2 linked regions of the Alligator mississippiensis genome follow. The protein of the gene in region 2 interacts with the protein of the main gene of each other region in a pairwise test. Links are inferred from orthologs where the notes say so. Each region holds a gene or a part of one and is shown on either strand. Other genes may lie near its edges. The genes, in order: TASOR2 and NEK6.

What was found.
Region 1: the proteins of NEK6 (region 2) and TASOR2 interact in binary tests that used the Homo sapiens proteins (3 or more experiments, as listed by UniProt). The link is inferred for Alligator mississippiensis from reciprocal best matches to the Homo sapiens genes NEK6 and TASOR2.

The regions. Positions count from the first base shown.
Region 1 is NC_081827.1:6,053,779-6,063,641, reverse strand, and holds the start of TASOR2 (protein TASOR 2), read left to right. Parts: upstream 1-5,169; 5' UTR 5,170-5,260; coding exon 5,261-5,276; intron 5,277-9,863.
Region 2 is NC_081835.1:65,887,730-65,897,791, reverse strand, and holds the start of NEK6 (serine/threonine-protein kinase Nek6), read right to left. Parts: upstream 4,350-10,062; 5' UTR 4,259-4,349; intron 1-4,258. UniProt on the Homo sapiens protein: Protein kinase which plays an important role in mitotic cell cycle progression. Required for chromosome segregation at metaphase-anaphase transition, robust mitotic spindle formation and cytokinesis.

The sequences.
Region 1 (9,863 bases), on a different chromosome or scaffold from region 2:
GCTGCCTCAACCCAAATTCATATAAAATCACAGACAAGAGGAGACTGGACCTCAGGAGGTCACATCTAGTCCAGCCCCCCCCCCCCCCCCCCAGTTCAAAGCAGGACCAGCCCCAACTACATCATCCCAGCCAAGGCTTTTTCTAGCCAGGTCTCTCCAAGGATGGTGAGTGCACAACCTCTCTGGGTGACCTGTTCCAGTGCTTTACTACCCTCCTTGTGAGAATTTTTTTCCTAATATCTAACCTAAACTTCCCTTGCTGCAGCCTGAGCCCATTGCTCCTTGTCCTGTCATCTGCCCCCACTGAGATCAGTCCAGCTCCATCTTTGCAACCCCCCTGCAGGGAGTTGAAGGCTGCTATTCAATCCCCTCAGTCTTCTCTTCTCCAGACTAAATCAGCCCAGTTCCCTCAGCCTCTCCTCACCAGTCCTGTGTCCCAGCCCTCTAACCATTTCTGTTGCCCTTCACTGGACTCTCTCTAAGTTGTCCACATCCTTTCTGTAGTAGGGGTGGGGGGCAAAACTGGACACAGGACTCCAGATGTGACCTCACCTGTGCAGAATAGAGGGGAATAATTACTTCCCTTGATCTGCTGGTAACACTCCTACCAATGTAGGCCACGATGCCTTTAGCCTTCTTGGCAACAAGGGCACACTGTTGACTTATATCCAGCTTATTGGATATGACAGGGGCATGTATATCCAATACCCAATATTGTATATAAATTCATAGATTCATAGATGCTAGGGTTGGAAGGGACCTCAACAGATCATTGAGTCTGACCTTTGGCTTGGGCAGGAAAGAGTGCTGGGGTCAGATGACTCCAGCCAGGTGCTTGTCTCCTCTTGAAGACCCCCAAGGTAGGGGGTTTAATTCATGCTACAAGTTTAGTTAGTTTAGTTCATGCTACAAGAGCACTACCTCCCTTGGAAGCCCATTCCAAGTTTTGGCCACCCTTACCATGAAGAATTGAATAATTCAAATTGTGGCACACACAAAAAAATATCAACAGCCGGAAGAACTGTTTACATCCTCTTTGCTGATGGATACCAAGAAGTCATCAAAAAGCTATGGTACTCAAAGCCATTCAGAAAAATGTGTTAAAATGCTTTGAAACAGAGGAGGGGAGAAGGGATTTCTTGAAATCCCAAATCTATCCTATCGCTCAGCTTCCCATTGACAAGCCACAGGTAAACACCTAGTGTGTTTTTGCAAGCTCCTTGCTGTGAGATCAGAGCACTTTGCAACTTGGAAAGAAGTTCATGGAACCTCAGTGTTGTTCTCTGTTCTCCTAGAAAAGCAGTGATATACATCTATGGGTGGATCTAGGATTTTGAAAATGGGGGTGCACATAGTGAGGTGCATCATCACATAGAATCATAGCAAATGAGGGCTGGAAGGGAGCTCAGGAGGTCCCATCTAGTCCAACCCCCTGCTCCTAGCAGGACCAGCCCCAACTACATCGTCCTAGGCAGGGCTTTGTGTAGCCAGGTCTTCAAAGCCTCCAAGGATGGAGCTTCTACCACCTCTCTGGGTAATCTGCTCCAGTATTTTACTACCCTCCTTGTGAAAAAGTTTTTCCTAATATCCAACCTCAACTTCTCTTGTTGCAACTTGAGCCCATTGCTCCTTGTCCTGTCATCTGCCCCCACTGAGAGCAGTCCAGCTCCGTCCTCTTTCGATACAAAACAACACATATACAACAACATATATTTTTCTCCAGGTAAAAATAAATCAGAACTTTACTAATCTGCTAGGGGCCTATGGCTGCGTTATTTAGTTTAAGACTGAAGCAAAAACAAATATAAATTCATTAGAATGAGGTAAAAACCATCTGCAGGGCTGTGAAATAGGAGCTTCATGACTAGGAGCAGTGAGCAGACAGCAGAACTGCAGACCAAAGGGTGACTTGATTGGTGAGACATTGAGACCATAAAAAAAGAGAAGATCATTAACACCTGTAGGGTGAAGAGTTTAGAAGGGATGGAGTAGATGACAATGAGCCATGAAGTTAGTTGATTCCCTCAACGCTGCCTGAGTAGAAATGCCACTGCCACTGCCAGAAAGTTGGTTTTAAATTTTGGGTGAAGCAGGAATTAAAGGGGTGTGTAAATGCACGAGTGCACCCCCTTGGATCCACCTCTGTGTACACCTTCCTTCTGCTGTGTCCCAGAAGAAAGGCACAGAGAAGTGTGGGCTAAACTTCATACAGCCTTGGAAAGGTAGTTTGGGAATCTCCTTTTGAATGGGTTTTTCTGAACCATCTGATTCTAGAGCAGGGGAACTGCAGTGACCTTTTTATCTCCAAGCAATTTAGTCCCTGGAAAGTGCTTTGTAAATAAAATTAGAAACACAGAATCATTCAAATTTTAAGACTGGGATGGACTCAGGCGGCCACAACTAGTCCAACCACTTTCTCCAATCAGGATCATTCCTGTTGAAACCATTCTAGATAGACAAGGGTTTGTCAAACCTTAAAAATCACAAGTCTCTAGACTCATTAGGCATTTGAATCCAGCAACTCAAGCACAAATCGTCTCTCTTGGCCATGTACATATGTGCATGGGTATATATACACAATTACTTTATACATGTATAATTTCTATATGACATAATATAGAAATCACTTTCAATACGAATGGCCAGGAGCACCAAGGGGAACTCACCTGGGTACGTCGTGGGATCTAGACAGGCACTCATAAGTCTGAGCTGTGTTGCGGATAGAGAAAGGGGGTAGAATCCCTGCAGCCTCGTCCCAGCTCTGACAGCGATTCAATGTCTGACCATGGACAAATCACTTTTCCTTCCTGTGCTATGGTCTCGTCATCTGTAAAAATAGGGGAATGCCAACACTTCCCTGCCTCTTGGAGTCCCTGAGATTCAATGGGCTGCAGATTACTTTGAGACCTTTGCATCACAATCTTTGTGCTCAGTTGCATCTTTGACTCTGCCACTGGCTTGAAGTATGACCTTGGGCATGTCACTTCCTCTCTCTGGGTCTCTTTTTTTTCCCTCCCACTGTGCATCAGTCTTGTCTCCCTCTCACACTATGTATATCTCAGCACTTAGGACCGACGGGGCTGATCTCAGTTGGAGCTAGTAGGTACCGGGGGGGTACAAATGCAACATAATCAGAGATTCCTACCATACCCAGCAGAACAGGTTCAGCCAGCCCCAGGCGGACATGTTTTATCTTAAGTAACCTATTGCAACACTTGCCAACTGGCTGTGTTTCCTCGGTGGTGGGATCTATTCTTCAGGCAGTCAAAAGCAGAAGGCAGCACAAGGTAACCTTGAGACCAGCTGGTTCAGAGAGGTATAAGCTTTTGTAGGCAACAGCCTCCTTCACCCGGTACAGAGAGCTGATATTTAAAGAAGCAATACTGAATCCTGCCGTGACTGCCGCCATCCTGGAAGCAAGCAGTGGGGCAGCACCCCCCTAAAAAATGATGGACAAATGAAAAAAGCTTTGGTTACAAATCCACAGGAGAAAATCATACGGGAAAGACTGGTGTCAGAGCCAAAAGACTACTAAAAATCTCATGTTGTTCGCTTCTCTTTCCACCTGATAAGCAGCTGCTCCATTAAGAGATCAGCTTTCTCTACGACTGACAAAAAAACCTGCTTTATATGGTGGTTAGGCAAAAGGGTTATTTATCCACTCTTTTCTATTTCAGCGGTTTTAGAATCAACCTCGTTAGACACCAGGCCCCCCTCGGAAAGTGCCAGCTGTTCATTTTCATGCATTTTTTGACTTTGGAAAAGTAACAGAGCAATTCTTCTGTTGCAAAGAACTCAGAAACACCACAGCAGGTCACAATGATTTGGGCACTGTGGATTTCTATTTGAAATCTCTGGGTTTATCCTGTGACTTGCATGGATGTAGCTGCACACATCACAATACAAATAATGTGTGGCACCCTCATCTCATGGCACCCCAGTTGAGAATCACCACGCTGCAGCTTTGCTACGACTATCTACGAGTGAATGTCACCGCTTTCTAGTTTCTTCTTTGCAGTATAGTTTCTCTGGAAGAAAAAGGGCAGCTGGGAGGAGGGAATAGCCACTGCTGATAAGGTTGCTTAAAACTAGAAGGGGAAAAAAAAATCATTGATTTCAAAATACTTTTAATAATGGACTTTGAACCTAAGTTTTAGTAGCTGCCTGCTTTTCACAGGAAGGGGAGCACACCCGTGCTCCTGTCCTTTGATCAACTGGGACTGCCTTTCAAAGTATGCCCTGCCCAGCCACTTCCAGCCGCCCCGTCGGACCATGGCAGAGCTGGGGGGTGCATGCAGCACAGCTGCTGTTGCCCTTGGCCAAGGAGCCCTCCCCATCATGGGGGAAGGTGGGCCATGAACCCAAATTAGTATCAGACAGTGCCGTGCCCCCATCCCTTCTCATGTCAGCCCCAAAGAGGCCTGGGGAAGGTGTGCGCGCTGGCAGGGGGCATGAAGGGCCAAACCAGGCGTGGCTGGGAGGCCACTCCACTTCACTTTCACCAGCAGCAGCAATTCAAACCATTAGGGAAGTGGGCACAGGGCACCTCTCCAGCCAGCCGGCAGGGCACACGGGGGCACAGGGCATCTCTCCACCCAGGGCTCATAGGGCGCATCTATACGTGCGCTTTAATATGCATTAGTCTATTTTAGACATAAAAATCGCAGTAAAGGTGATATCTTGTATTAGACCAAACAGATTTTTGCAAAAAAAAAAGTAAAAAATTTTAATTGCAAGCTTTCGGGCTCAACCCCCGCTTCATCAGGCATCGGAAAAAAGATTGCCCAAGTTCTCCTAGGTAGAAATGCAAGCTCCTATTTCGTAGGCGACTTAAAACCCGTGGGCATTTAAACATGTCCATTGGCGGCGCGTGCGTCTCAACAGCAAAACGCACACACACCAGCGCAGTTTCGAACTAAAACACCTTTTGATGTGTTTTAATTCAAAAGCACGCCACCATCACGTTCCCATTAGCACAGACACGTGTACAAACGCCCCATGATGGAAGGCGCCCCCACGCGTGCGCAGACGCGCCCAGGCGCGGCATGGAACGCGGGGCCGCCGTAGACTAGGTGGGGGGGAAAGCGGAAGCGGAAGTGGAGCACCACTTCCGGGTCAGTTTTCACTTTCTCTTTTTTTTTTTTTTTTTTTCCCTCCCCTCCCCGGCGGCGGCGGCGGCGGCACTTCCTGCGCGGGCGGCCGACATGTTCGCGGCGCCGGGCCGCGGGATGCGGCCCCGAGCCTGAGCGCGGCAGCGGCCATGGCGGAGCCGCCTGGTGAGTGCGGCGTCGGGCCCAGGGGAGGGGGAGGCTCGCGCCCCTCAGGAGCCGGGTTTGGGGGGGCTGAAATGATACCGGGCCCCTGTGTGGGTAGCCGCACGCATTGATCTAAGGACATCAGCAGACAAGCTGGAGGTGATATCTTTTACGAGACCAACTTAAATAGTTGTGGGGAACCATTTTGTCTAGCAAGCTTTCTGGTTTAAAAACCCTTTGTGGGGCTGAGGAAGTCTGTGCAGTCGGTGTGCGCTCTTCCTAGAAGGAACGAATTGTCATACGCCAACTCTGCTGCAAAAAAAAACCTCTCCGAAAACCCACAACAAGCCAAAACGTTGTAGGCAGTTTGGATTCGTATTTGAAATCTCTGGGTTTCTCTTGGGGATCCTGGGTAGGTGTTTGCACACTTAACAGTACAAATCGTCTGCATTGCAACAGGTGTGCAGAATGCTGTGCAATACTACAGTATTCTGTACAACCGTGCAGATCGTCTGCATTGCAACAGTCGTGCAGAATGCTGTGCATCACTACAGTATTCTGTACAACCGTGCAGATCTTCTACATTGCAAGAGTTGTGCAGAATGCTGTGCAATACTACAGTATTCTGTACAACCGTGCAGATCGTCTGCATTGCAACAGTCGTGCAAATGCTGTGCAATACTACAGTATTCTGTACAACCGTGCAGATCGTCTGCATTGCAACAGTCGTGCAAATGCTGTGCAATACTACAGTATTCTGTACAACCGTGCAGATCGTCTGCATTGCAACAGTCGTGCAAATGCTGTGCAATACTACAGTATTCTGTACAACCGTGCAGATCGTCTGCATTGCAACAGTCGTGCAAATGCTGTGCAATACTACAGTATTCTGTACAACCGTGCAGATCGTCTGCATTGCAACAGTCGTGCAGAATGCTGTGCAATACTACAGTATTCTGTACAACCGTGCAGATCGTCTGCATTGCAACAGTCGTGCAGAATGCTGTGCAATACTACAGTATTCTGTACAACCGTGCAGATCGTCTGCATTGCAACAGTCGTGCAGAATGCTGTGCAATACTACAGTATTCTGTACAACCGTGCAGATCGTCTGCATTGCAACAGTCGTGCAGAATGCTGTGCAATACTACAGTATTCTGTACAACCGTGCAGATCGTCTGCATTGCAACAGTCATGCAGAATGCTGTGCAATACTACAGTATTCTGTACAACCGTGCAGATCGTCTGCATTGCAACAGTCGTGCAGAATGCTGTGCATCACTACAGTATTCTGTACAACCGTGCAGATCGTCTGCATTGCAACAGTCATGCAGAATGCTGTGCATCACTACAGTATTCTGTACAACCGTGCAGATCTTCTACATTGCAAGAGTTGTGCAGAATGCTGTGCAGTACTACAGTATTCTGTACAACCGTGCACATCTGCATTGCAACAGTCGTGCAGAATGCTGTGCAATACTACAGTATTCTGTACAACCGTGCACATCTGCATTGCAACAGTCGTGCAGAATGCTGTGCAATACTACAGTATTCTGTACAACCGTGCAAATCGTCTGCATTGCAACAGTCGTGCAGAATGCTGTGCAATACTACAGTATTCTGTACAACCGTGCAAATCGTCTGCATTGCAACAGTCGTGCAGAATGCTGTGCAATACTACAGTATTCTGTACAACAGTGCACATCTGCATTGCAACAGTCGTGCAGAATGCTGTGCAATACTACAGTATTCTGTACAACCATGCAGATCTTCTGCATTGCAAGTCGTGCAGAATGCTGTGCAATACTACAGTATTCTGTACAACAGTGCACATCTGCATTGCAACAGTCGTGCAGAATGCTGTGCAATACTACAGTATTCTGTACAACCGTGCAAATCGTCTGCATTGCAACAGTCGTGCAGAATGCTGTGCAATACTACAGTATTCTGTACAACCGTGCAAATCGTCTGCATTGCAACAGTCGTGCAGAATGCTGTGCAATACTACAGTATTCTGTACAACAGTGCACATCTGCATTGCAACAGTCGTGCAGAATGCTGTGCAATACTACAGTATTCTGTACAACCATGCAGATCTTCTGCATTGCAAGTCGTGCAGAATGCTGTGCATCACTACAATATTCTGTACAACCGTGCAAATCGTCTGCATTGCAACAGTCGTGCAGAATGCTGTGCAATACTACAGTATTCCGTACAACCGTACAAATATTCTTCATCCTTAAAAGGATCTCATGGCATCCTAAGGTATCACACCCTGGTTGAGAATCGCTGACCTACCTGACCCCGAAGTCAGCTGCAGGTTCAGAAATCCAATTAAAAAAATTTAGTCTTGATCTTTTCTTCTAACCACGAGAAAACACTTCCCCCTGTGTTTTATTTCATTTGTTTGTAACCATCACCCTTTTTCCTAGTATCAAAGTTTTGCTGATGCCAATAGCAGGTCTAGACCCAAAGTCCAAGTTGTGTTTTTATTTTTTGTAGGCAAAAGTTTGCCAAACCATTTCCTCAGAACAGTTTTTTTATTTGGTGATTTGATGCCCTCCCCCATCCTTGAAGCACCAGAAGTCATCATCGTGCTCATGCAGGAAATCAGAAAGTGAAAAAGGCTAGAAACAAAAGTGAAACTGAATAGTCTGACTTGTCTAACATGGCATATGTGCATTGTTGAACAGGTTATAGGATGTGAATGGAGGGTAGAAGTGCTGTTAACGATGGGAATTAGACTGAGGGGGGCATTTTGTATGAATTCTGTGCCTACAATGGTGGGATTCAGAAATATTGGGCGAGTTTTGCTGCAGGTAGGAAGATCTTGGAGAAACCAGGTAGTTGCAAGCTAAACAAATCTTTGAAGACTGAACTCTGTGATGTGCTAAATTGAGAGCAAAGCACTGAGGGGTGGGGGGTGTTTAAGCTGCACCACATTTTTGGAGCAGAAATGGAAACCTGAGACTTGACAGAGATCTAGAAATCAGAAAAGTGATGCCTGTCCATTTTAGGCAGTGACCATTAAAAGCAGAATGCAGAAATTGGTGGTGGTGGGGACATTTAAATGTGTAAGTAGCATTTAAATGCCTTGAGGCAAAGTAGGGCTTGGGACCTAAGCAACAAGGAAATTACCACCACTAATTAGCACTGCCGCTTCAGAGGTGGAAGTGTGGTGGGCCTGGGAATATACAATTTAAATCCCTGCAATTAAATGAATCCCTAACAGGAGAGGGCACACTAAGGGGTCAGAGTGTTTCAGAGTGGGTCCGACGATTAAAGGGAACATCAAATGGCTGTGTAATAGATTAACAATGGCAACCCTGTAGGAATCAACATTTTCATTAAATGCTAAACTGACGAGCTGCTAATGGGAGACCTTGAAGAAGTGTGTCCCTTGCTGAGTTGATTGTGTCCCTGCCTTTAGAGAGAACCTTTTTTTCAAAGGAGACACAAGGCCCAATACTATAAACCAGGAATTCCCAATGTTTATGTGCCCAAGGCCACATTCACATTTTTAAAAAAGCAGCAGGCGCCAATTTGACAGCATTTTTTTGTTGGAATAATGATTTTTTACTGGTCATGAAAATGCACGTGGGCACCTGAATAAACCTCGGGGATGGTGCCCGCAGGCACTATGTTGGGAACCGTTGCTATAAACTCACCAGGCAGGGCTGGGAGCAGAAAGAACTTTCTCAAATACCATTAAATTTGCTAGTTTGCTTGTAGAGGTTAGGTGGATGGTTTGTTAAAGGGGTTACCATCTCTTTGGGCAGCAGGACAGTCCTTTTGAAGCAATTCCAGCATTTTGCTGTACAGACAACAGGTAGAGGATGATCTAAATAGGCATTCTCAGTCTCTGGAATCCGTGTGTAACCCCTCTGCCAGGCCCTGACAGCCGGAACAAGGGCTGGGTTCAAATTTAGGGGTTTTACACCAGCTTTTCAAACTGAGCTTGAGCCTCCACCCAGAAATATGGGAAAGTAACGTTTGCACTAGGTGTTCTAACAAGAACGGACTTCCCCCCTCACCAGCAGATGTTAAACTGAAATGGGCTTGATTACAAGAGGTGCAGGGGAGAAAGGAGCAAACATACAACCTTAAAGAAAACTGCTGAACCTTCACTGAAACCCTAAACAGGTCCTAGTCACTGGCAAACCAACCCACCACCCCTAGCCCAGGCAGTTGGGAAGGGAGACATACTCCAGGTTGCTGACCCTGACCTGTTTCAGACCCTGACCTGTTTCAGAAGCAAGCTCGGGGAGTTTATTTCTTTAGCAACAGTGAGCAGCAGCTTTTTTTCCCCCTGAACCCAGCAAAGATGCTTCTGGGTACCTGCATTTTTTTTCCATTTTTTTTTTTGATTTATAAGCTACACAACCATCCCAGGGAGTGATTCCTGTCTGGAAACTCTCCTATTCCTCCCACTCCTTTATGTGTATACCCTGATTGTGTGCTAAAACTGAAGGCTACCCCACTGCACGCCTCTGCCCAGCTTATGGCGAGGGCTGACTCTGGAGTGACCCTTGTAAAACTGTGTACTACAAGCATGTGCGTGCCTACGGACGTCACAGTTCGGAAGGGAGGGCCATGGGCACAGAATCT
Region 2 (10,062 bases):
TCGTTTCAGAAATAGCCCACAACAGGAAGGGGAAAGAACCTTCCCAAATGGGACTCTTCACCTATATAACCACACACCAGTATTAGGGGATTCCTTCCCCAAGTCAGATACTAACTACTGCATCAGTGCTGCCCAGGGGGATGCCAACGTGAAGTACTAGATGCAGAGAGTGTGTGCATGTGCTCGGACACCTCAGGACTCAGTAAGCTCTCACCTCTCTCCTAGCAGTCCTAGGGTCTACACTCTGGGAATGTACTGGAGGATTTAAGGAGCAGGAGAGAAGCACCTGGGCATAAAACTCCAATGAATCTCTTCCTCCTCTTAGCTAAGAAACTTGGCTCTGGAAAGGATTTCCAACAAAGCTTCCTTGCCTGGAAAAAATAAAGTTCCAGAGAACATTTTAAATGATCTACTTTGCCAAGAAATAATCTGCCCATCAAATTAGGAAAGCAGAAATGCATAACAAATTTGGACAGGTCAGTCCTTTCACAGCAGCCCTCATTCAGTCAGTCCCATGGCTGATGGTCTGGGAAACAAGTGTGAACGCATATATACCAGCCTCCAACACATGCCAAAATAGCCTTGGAATTAAAATATTTTAAATTAGTGACAAAAAAGCCAAATGAATGAAATAGTACCTTACTCACTGCAATCCCAGCACCTGAATGGAAAAGGTGTACTTCTTTTGGCCAGTCTTTCAAGGTCAATGACCCACAGTTGCACACTAGGACTGGCTTGTTTTAATTTTTGTATTTAAAAATATATTTGAATTACTGGTAATAACTAACTGGATTTTAAGACTAAAGCTCTTACTCAAGCCAATAATGATATTGGGTGGAAAAGAATATCTAGCTGCTTTAAGGTACATATTAATAAATCAGGCAAAGTTTCTGAACAGTAAAAGTAGCAAATTTCACAGGGACACAAAGTTGCTTAAATCACTCAATTTAACCATTAAAAATAAATGCTTGCATTTTCTGCACTGATTATTTTAATTCAAGCGTTATTTTTACGTGTCTTCCGCTGTCGAGTAGCATTAGTTGATATAGAAACAACACCACAGATTGTTATAGAATATGATCTGAAAGCTCAGTAAAATGCAGTTCTGCTTGAAGTTTATGTTCAAAATACAATATATAAAGTAAGTTATCCTTTCCCCCCCCCAAATTGTGAGATTTTAAACAAAAGCCCTGCATGTACCTGTAGTTTTCCATCAGTTCCCTTCTGGGGCCTTATTAATGAAGAAAAATATAACATACTGCCCCAAGAATTCCCCAGGTTATCTGATTTTACTGTTCTTGGTGTATAAAATAAGGACCAAACGTGGGATAGCGGATCCTCTTATTTTGACAAAATACAGCTAAATAGGAAGAAATACTTGAAGAAGCACTGCAAAATGATGGAGGGGAAAACAAACACATGCAGTCCACACCACCGTGGCAGGAACATGAGGTGCATTCTGGGTGAGGACGACGACTTCTTCTGAGCCACTCTGAGCAACGTGTCAAAAATCAATACCAATTGATTCTTCTTGATTTCTAAATCTCGCTCAGATGCAATTCGACAAATTTACGTGAAGTATTACAGGCTGCTCTTTAAAAAACAGAATTTGTAGAGACATTAAGGTTCATGAAAATAATAGCAGCTCTCCAGAGAAATGGGGTGGGTTCTTTTCTTTTGGTTAGCACTAGTTTCCTTTGAACAAACATGGTGTGTTGCCCGCCTGCCTGCCTCACCTACATGCATAAAAAAATTGAAACCAACTGAGATGCTTTTGTTACATTACTGTTGGTTTTGCATGAAAACCTATTTGGAAGCAAGCAGCAAAGGGGATTTTGTTCCTCTCCCATCTGTGACAGACAGCTGCTCACTAGCTGGAATCTATGAAGCTACCAGACACTTAAAGTAGCACCAAACTAAAGTAAACATTATGCTTAAAAAAAAAAAAAAGTTTTTTGAAAACCATCTGCCCTATTTCACAAAATACAATTTCTAACATAGTTTTGCAATGTGATATCATAGCCCCCTCTATACAATTAGGACGTTCTTAAATGTTGCCTGTTCCTAGAAATTAAATGGTTGATCTTTACCTTGAAAAAAATGTAAAATAGTTTATTTCTGACACCTTCAAAATGGTATTCGAAAACCACAACTTAACCCCAGAGATTTCTCAGGCATGTGAAACTGCGGCACTTACAGTAGGGCCAGATGTTTAACTACTCAGCACAGGTTAGACTTTAAAGTAAAGTAATCTCAATCCAATCCAAAACAATTCATATGTAAAATTTAAGCCAAGACAGAAAAAAAAAGCAGATCAACCACATAAAAAAAACTGGTATCTATACAAACCGCTATATTTGAACCACTTAAAAAAACCTCAGGGTGGTTATTTGTTTTGATTTGTTTTGTTTTAATAAAGCTTACAAACGTTTCAAGCTGCCTGGTTTATCCTGCATTCAAACAGGAACTCTACTGCCTGTGCCCCGCGTTATGAGCAGAAGTAAGACAGCAGCTTTCTGCCTGGCTACTTATGCTTTAAAAAGTTAAGATTTATTTAAGATGCTTGTAAACTGGGAGTTTCAGGGGTTTACTCCCTTTGTAATATAGATCACCGGTTGCAAGGTGCGGACCTCGATTGCAATCCCGCCTCGGACAAGACGCGTGCAAGAGAACAGCGCGGACCTGGACCTTCCTGACCACCAGCAACTCTCCACGTCACGCATCGCAGCTCCTCCATCCTCTAATCGGTTTCCTTTTACGCTTCTTTCTCCCTGAGAGAGAGGTCAATCCAACCTGCATCCTACAAGTTAATAATGGGCCGCACCTGTTCGATCACCGCCAACCCATGCCTCAAGCCAACAGGCGACTGCCCCCAAAAAAGGATCCTGTATCATTTTGTCCAGCCCAGGTCTGAACCCCACAACTTCCTCTGCTCAACCATTTCACCGATTACTGCCTGGCACGTTAGTTAGTCCTTGCTGATGTCCAACCTAACCATACCCTTGTGCTTACTCCTCTGTGCATTATCTTGATGTCACACGAGCCCCCAAGAGCTAACTCACAAAAACTTTCCAAAACTCTGCCAACGTTTGCCCGAGCGGCACGCGGTATCTGTGTCCGAGCGGCACGCGGTATCTGTGTCCGAGCGGCACCGTGCTGCTTTCACAGGTTGAGCATTTCTTGAAAGCTAGCGGCTTCTCAAGACAACAGCTACGAGACACATGTATAAAGTTTGAGAAATTAAAATCCAATTCTCATTTTTATAACAAGGGACTGCAACGTGACCGCGAAGGGGCCTCCGAAAACTTATCCTAGAACTCGTATGAACGAGAAGATCAAACATTGACTTCCGTTCCCTGCACGGCCTGGTCCGAGATGGGTCCTTCCTCCAGGGTTTTTTAATCTGCAAATTAAGGCAATGCTGCTTCAAAAACTACATGAAGATCTCCTGATGAAACCTACTGGATAAAGTATTATCATCCGCCGGCACTACCTGCCAACAGAAAGGCTAAATGAAAAGACCCCGTCAAGGGTTTCGTTTTCACTTTTCGGTAGGTCTCAACCTTTCACGGGCAATTTTAGCCTCCGGTGTCGCGTCACAGATTTCGGGCTGGAGGGAACCTCGCGAGACCCTCGGGTCCAGGCGCAAGGTGAGTGTGCAAGCGTTTCTTTTGCACGTCCGCACCGCTCCGGTCCCAGTCGGCCACGTACCTACGCCCGTGACGCCTGCGGCAGCACCCCAGGGTGCCGCAGCGTGGCGGGTCGCCGGGCCCAGCCCCGTCCTTGCGAGGGTGCCACGGGCGGCCACGCGGCATCGGCGCCGTTCAGCGCGCAAACACGACCGGCGGTACGTTGCGCTGCCCCGCCGCGACGGCGGGATCGCTCCGTTCGGTTGCTACCGTCGAGCTTTCCGGAAGCGCCCCGGACTCCGGCACGCCGCAGAAAGAGTGGAGAGCCGCGCGTCCACGTCGCGTGTCCACGTCCAAGCCGCCCCCGTCCCCACGGCCCCAGAACCACGGAGGAACCTGAGGTAATTTTCAGCAGCGGGGGTCCCCCGAGCCCCCTCGGCGCAGCCCGGCCGCGCTCGTGACAGGAAGGACGGCGCGACGCGACGCGACGCGGCGGGGACGGCACGCGGCTCCTTCCCCACGACCGCCAGCGGAGTGGGGTGGGGTGGGGTGGGGTGGGGGGCTCCCCCCCCGCCGTGCCCCCCGGGGCAGGTCGGTGCCAACCCCCCCCTCCCGCGCGCCCCCGTTACCTGCCGAGCGCCCGCGCCGCCTCCCGCCGCCTGCGCGCGCCCCCGCGCCCGGCCCGGCCCGGCCCCCGGCGGCGCGAGCGCGAGCGCCAGCCCCGCCCCCGCCGGCGCGCCGCCGCAGCCGCCACGCAGGCCTGCGCCGGGAGCGCGCGCGCTGCACCGCGCCGCGCCGCGCCGCGCCGGGGGGCGGGGCCGGGGGCGGGGCTCCGCGCACTCGCCCCGCCCACCGCCCGCGGCTTGGCGCGGCTTGGCGCGGCTCGGGGGAGGCATGCGGCCGTCACCTGCATGGCGGGGAGGGGGGTTACCACACGGGGCGCCATAAATGCTCTGGGCTCGCGGAGGCGCAATAAATGTTGGCGGGCCGCCCCTGCGAAGGAGCCGCCCGGCCGTGAGCGGGGGAATCGCGCCATAAACGTCGACGAGCGGCCTGTGCCAAGGCCGGGTCACGCAACAATGGCGCGATAAATGTAGACCCGGCCCCATGCAAAGTGGTGATCGTATAATGACCCGGGGGATCGCCCAATAAATGTACACCCGCCGCCTGTGCAAAGTGGTGCTCGTGCAGAAGGAGGGATGCGCAATAAATGGAGACCGGCCACCCCCGCACAGTGTTTATCACGTGGAAATGGGGGGGCCACGCAATAAATGTTGACGGGTTGCCCTTGCGGAGTAACCGCCAGGCTGTGAATGGGGGAATCGCGCTATAAATGCAGGCAGGCTGCTTGTGCAACGTCAGGATCATACAGAAATGGGGAGGCACGCAATAAATGTTGATGGGTTGCCCCTGCAAAGTAGCTGCCAGGCTGTGAATGGGGGAATCGCGCCATAAATGCAGGCAGCCGCCTGTGCAAAGTCTGGATCGCACAGAAATGAGGGGGATGTGCAATAAATGTTGACGGGCCGCCCCTGCGAACTAGCCGCCGGGCAGTGAATGGGGGAATCGCGCCATAAACGCAGGCAGCCGCCTGTGCGAGGTCCGGATCACTCAGCAACATGGGGGGGGATGTGCAATAAATGTTGACGGGCCGCCCCCGCGAAGTAGCCGCCAGGTTGTGAACGGGGGAATCGCGCCATAAATGCAGGCAGCCGCCTGTGCGAGGTCCGGATGACGCAGCAACGTGGGGAACGGCGCGATAGCCGCGTGGGAAGGGTGAAGTAGCGCGCAGCAGCGATCGGTGTCACACAGAGAGGTGGACGGTGCCCGGACGCACGGCCCCTTCGGCGAAGGCCGCTCGGCGTCCCGCGCTGTTCAGATACGCGTCCCCTCTCCGCCGGCGCGGCGTGTCCACGAGAGCTGCGTGGAACCCCCGATCACCTGAGACGTTTCGGGTCGCAGCGCCCTGTTTTTCCAGCAGGCTCAAGCTCGCGTGGTTTCAGCTTCGAAATAAGTTTGTTTCGCAGGAACCTGAGAAACTGCGGCAAGCGCTGGATTAAATGACTGAGTTCATCCTACAAACCTCCTCGTTTCAGGCACGCTTTTTTTTTTTGTTGCCAAACCAAGGAGACGTCTGGAATGAGTCTGAGCTCCACGTGAATTGAACGCAGTTTCATCCACGAGAAACTCCTGAAACGCCCTGCCCTGGCTGGCTTTGGGCTTTGTTGTTCGATTTTGTCGTGTGAGGTCAGCGGTGCAGGCGGCGTGGGTACGTGCAGACATCGTCTGTCCGGCACGCGAGTCTCTCCTGTGTATTAGCACTCGAGACGCTGCGCGAGTATAAGCTGTACCTCCTTGCATTACTGTGATAATGCGAGGCATTTTCTCTCATGGGTGCAGATGCCTGCGCAGCTATGCCATGCTTCTCGCTAGAGACAGAGCAGTAGACATAACAGATGGAAACGAAGAGGCCACCTGGTTTTGAAGCAGATCGTATCGTCAATCCATCAGTACCAAATCTGCAACACCGGGTAGGGCTTCGATAAACAACATTAAGTCATTTTTTTCCCTCTACATCTCAGGCATCCCGGGAGCTGTAGACTTCCCCACCTCCTTTCTCTGAAAGATAACGCTCTCTAGAGTTGAGGCACGAGGATGTCGTGAGCGTACAGCGCCAAGAGGAGCACGAGAGGTTTGTTCTGCCATCCTCCGTCAATACCTCCTAGGCGAGATGTCTTTAAACGTGTGCTGGGCTCCTGCGCACAGCTACCAGACCCGGGCTTTTCACTGCTCGATTACACAGACCATACAGCTCTACCCGTACTTCGAGTTAGCAGAATTCAATAAGGAAAGAAAAAAATTAAATTTCCTGAATTACATCGTGATGGAGATGAATTTAGCCTGACATGGTGCATTATTATTCCACGGGAAATTCCTTCCTGGAAAAATCAGAGAGGAAAAATTCAAAGGACAATTTCTCCTGGAAGCTTCTTGTAAAATCATGAATTCATCTTGCACCCCTGGCTCCGCATGGCCGTGCTAAAAACATTGCATTAACAAACACGGAGCCACTTGCAACTGTCCAAGGATTGTAGGATTAGACTGCATAACTCCAAATCAAATTAGATAGATAGATAGATAGATAGATAGATAGATAGATAGATAGATAGATAGATAGATAGATAGATAGATAGATAGATAGATAGATAGATGTGTATTTATATATGTTTATTTATATTTCAGCATCCCTTCTAATGAAGTTATTGCCATTAAGAGCCATCAGACTGCTGTTGGCTTCACTTAACTGGTTTAATTTTTTAGAGCAATGATTTTATGATCTGGGTCTTAATTTACAGTCTTTATAGGGTCAGTATGATCACAGTCATATCAGATAGTCCATGATTGATAACATCTTGGCTCTACAGGTTTAAATAAGGCAGGATTTCACCAAGTATATCAATACATGCATCCTGCCTCGTTGGTTAGTTTTCTGGTCATTGTGCACTGTATCTACTTCCTGCAAGAAGTTGTTTTCAATAAAAAAAAATCCCCCCTACCAAATAAAAAACAGAATGAGCTGAAAGAGACTTTTGTCAGCAGTAGCCAAAGAAGAAAGGCTGTGAATTTTCCTCTCCAGTTATAAAGCTGCAGCACGTCTTCTCCACATACATACAGTACATGCAAGCTACTTCCATACTATGTCTGCTACATGCATGCTCCGTTCTCATATTTCTGTAAGGTTCGAATCCCAAAGGAAGAATTAATGCTAAAGGAATGCATACCAGTATGCAACTAGTCGAAAACTCAGTACAGAAAATCTCCACCAGCTTGCCTAGAGAAACACCTCTATTATTTTTACCATATTAAGATCTGCGAGTTGTTCTCATGAACATTCGTGCAACAGTTTAGTCGCAAAACTGATAAAAGTGATGCAAAGAAAGAAAAAAATTGGAATCAAAAAGGGGATTCAGAAAGAATTGGTGTTCGGGAAGATAATGCAACCTAGACAGGTCACGTGCCCCAGAAAACAACTCCAGCCCAGCTGCCTGTGGATCTCATCAGGGAACCAGATGTGACCAGTGGCAGAATATCCTTCACAGCATGGGATCTGGAGTATGCGATTGCCATCCAGGAAAGGGGAGATGGGAAAGTATGATGGAGAAAAGGTTTTGTTGCTTAAAAGAAGTTTTCTTTTTCAGAAAAGATGCTAGGTTTGGGAAAGTGTTTGGGGTAAAGAACAGAAGGATTTTTCATACAGACACAGAAGGTTTTGTGTTTTTTGCCTCCACTTTGTTAACTCTAAAGGACTTTAAAGGATGAAGCGACGTAAAGAAAAAGCTCGTATTCAACCATTTTCTTTTGCTCAGAAAAAAACCTAGGAGGGAAAATTAATAATACTAAGGGCCCCGTTGTCCTCTGCCCAGCAGGGCTGGAAACTGTGAGCTCCTGCTCATGGAATTTCCTCATTCTTTCATCGAGCAGCGGGTGAAAGGGGAAAGGCGCCTTCCCCTCAGCAGAAGCTGCAGGAGATTCAACCTGCAAGGCATGGGTACAACCGCTGGAGGCAGGAAAGGGGCCGTTTCACCTCCAGCTGCTTGTTGTGCTGGTCGCATTAGCTCGTAGTGGAAAGGCGGGTTGAAGACGAGGGTTTGCAGGCAGAGGACTCTACACGCTCATCGCTTTGTGGGCCGAGTTTCAGTCTTGTGGCGCAGCCACAGGGAAAGCCCGGTCTCCCATCTGCGCAGCATTCCCTCCGGAGGCTACAGTCGAAGAGCGAGGGAGTCTCCAATCCAGCTGCCAAGGGAGGCTGAAATCTTGCATTTGACCTGCTATCCAATGAACCAGTGAAGAGGGCAGAGCACAGGGGGTGAGCTCCCAGCAGCCCATGTTGCCGAGCGGGGGCCTAGATAACGACCGTTATGCTAGTCAGGCCTAGAGACTGTTCGTAGGGACGTAGGCTCATGCCCTCCCTTCCCATCGCCGACTTGACTTGACTTCCTCTCCGCTCCAAGCCCAGCACATTCCCTGTATGCTGTCCACCAAGGCCAGCTTCACCAGGCGTGCTTGGCTGCCTTCGCCAGTGCAGCATCTTCTCACGGGAGAAGGTCATCTCAAGAGAGCCAGGAATATGTAGGCATTAACATTCACCGAAGCGATCTCCTAGAAAAGGGCAATTCCAAGAGAACAGGATGATCCCAAGTCCAAGGCAATATGCACCCACGGTTTTTGTTTAGCTCAGACCTGTTCACAAGGCAAAGCATGGCCAACTTTGGTTCTTGCCCTTGATCAGAAGGGGTTACGCCATCTGAAAACTCCTGAGCTTTGCATTCACTTGGATCCAGAGCATTTTGACTGGTCTTTTGAAATCCATGCATGTTACTGTGAAGGTGCCCGAGACCCAGGGTGTGAGCCAGGGGTAGCGACACTAGCAAGTCATCCCATCCTGAATTCCTGTGCTGTGCTTAGATGCATGGAGGGGGTTTGCAGAGTCTAATGTGGGGCATTGCACACAGCTAGACATAGCTGGAAGCTCTCCCCTGCAAGCCGAACTGCTCAGGTTCATCCAGGCCCCTTTCTAAACTATGCCACAAATCTCTGGTGAGAGGCTCTAAAATGCGAGCCCCTTCGTTAGCCCCTTTCGATCCGTTCCAACCAGCCAATCACGGGATTTGTAAGGACACTCAATCCACCGTAAGGGTCCATTGTTTTTTGCATACGAATTGCCTTCAGATGGCACGTGATTGTTTCGGACAGTTAGGGATGTTCATACACCTCCCTTTGCCCAGTTTTCAAAAGCACAGGTTTGATTTCTCACAGCTCCATGCGTATTTCTCTCTCTCTCCTCTTTTTCTTTCTTTTTTTTTTTAATTTAAATTGAAGCCAGATTGAGCAGTACTGGCTTCGACAACCCCAAGCCCTTCCCCTATTTTCCCTGACATTCTTCCTTGCGATCGCGTCCAAGTGTTCTGGGCGAGTTTTGCTGGAATGCAGTTACTCTGAGCATGGCCTGCTATCCAAAAGGAGCTGGCGGAGGTCTCCAGCTTTCACAGCCAGATGTTACAAATGTGACCCTGCCAGAAGCTGCAATGCATGCACCTTCCCTTTCCCAGTCCCCCTTCCCCAGGGGACTTTTCTGCACCAGCCAGTCCCCAGAACAGTTTTGTCGTCTCTCCTTCACATGTATTATTGTTTCATTTTCACATGGCACCTTTTTCTTAATACTGCGCTGTCCTTTTCACCTGTATTCCTCTGCTTTGGTCTCTAACGTGTCAGGGGAAATCAGGGATTTCATAGCATCAATGGTCAGTCACTTCCCAGTGAGGGAAAGGTGAGAATTGCACCAGCAGCATCGGGCAGAGCAGGACTTTATTGTTTGCATTTCAGGACTCAGGACCTCTGGGGCTAGGTGCCACAGAACAAAAGCTGCAGCCTC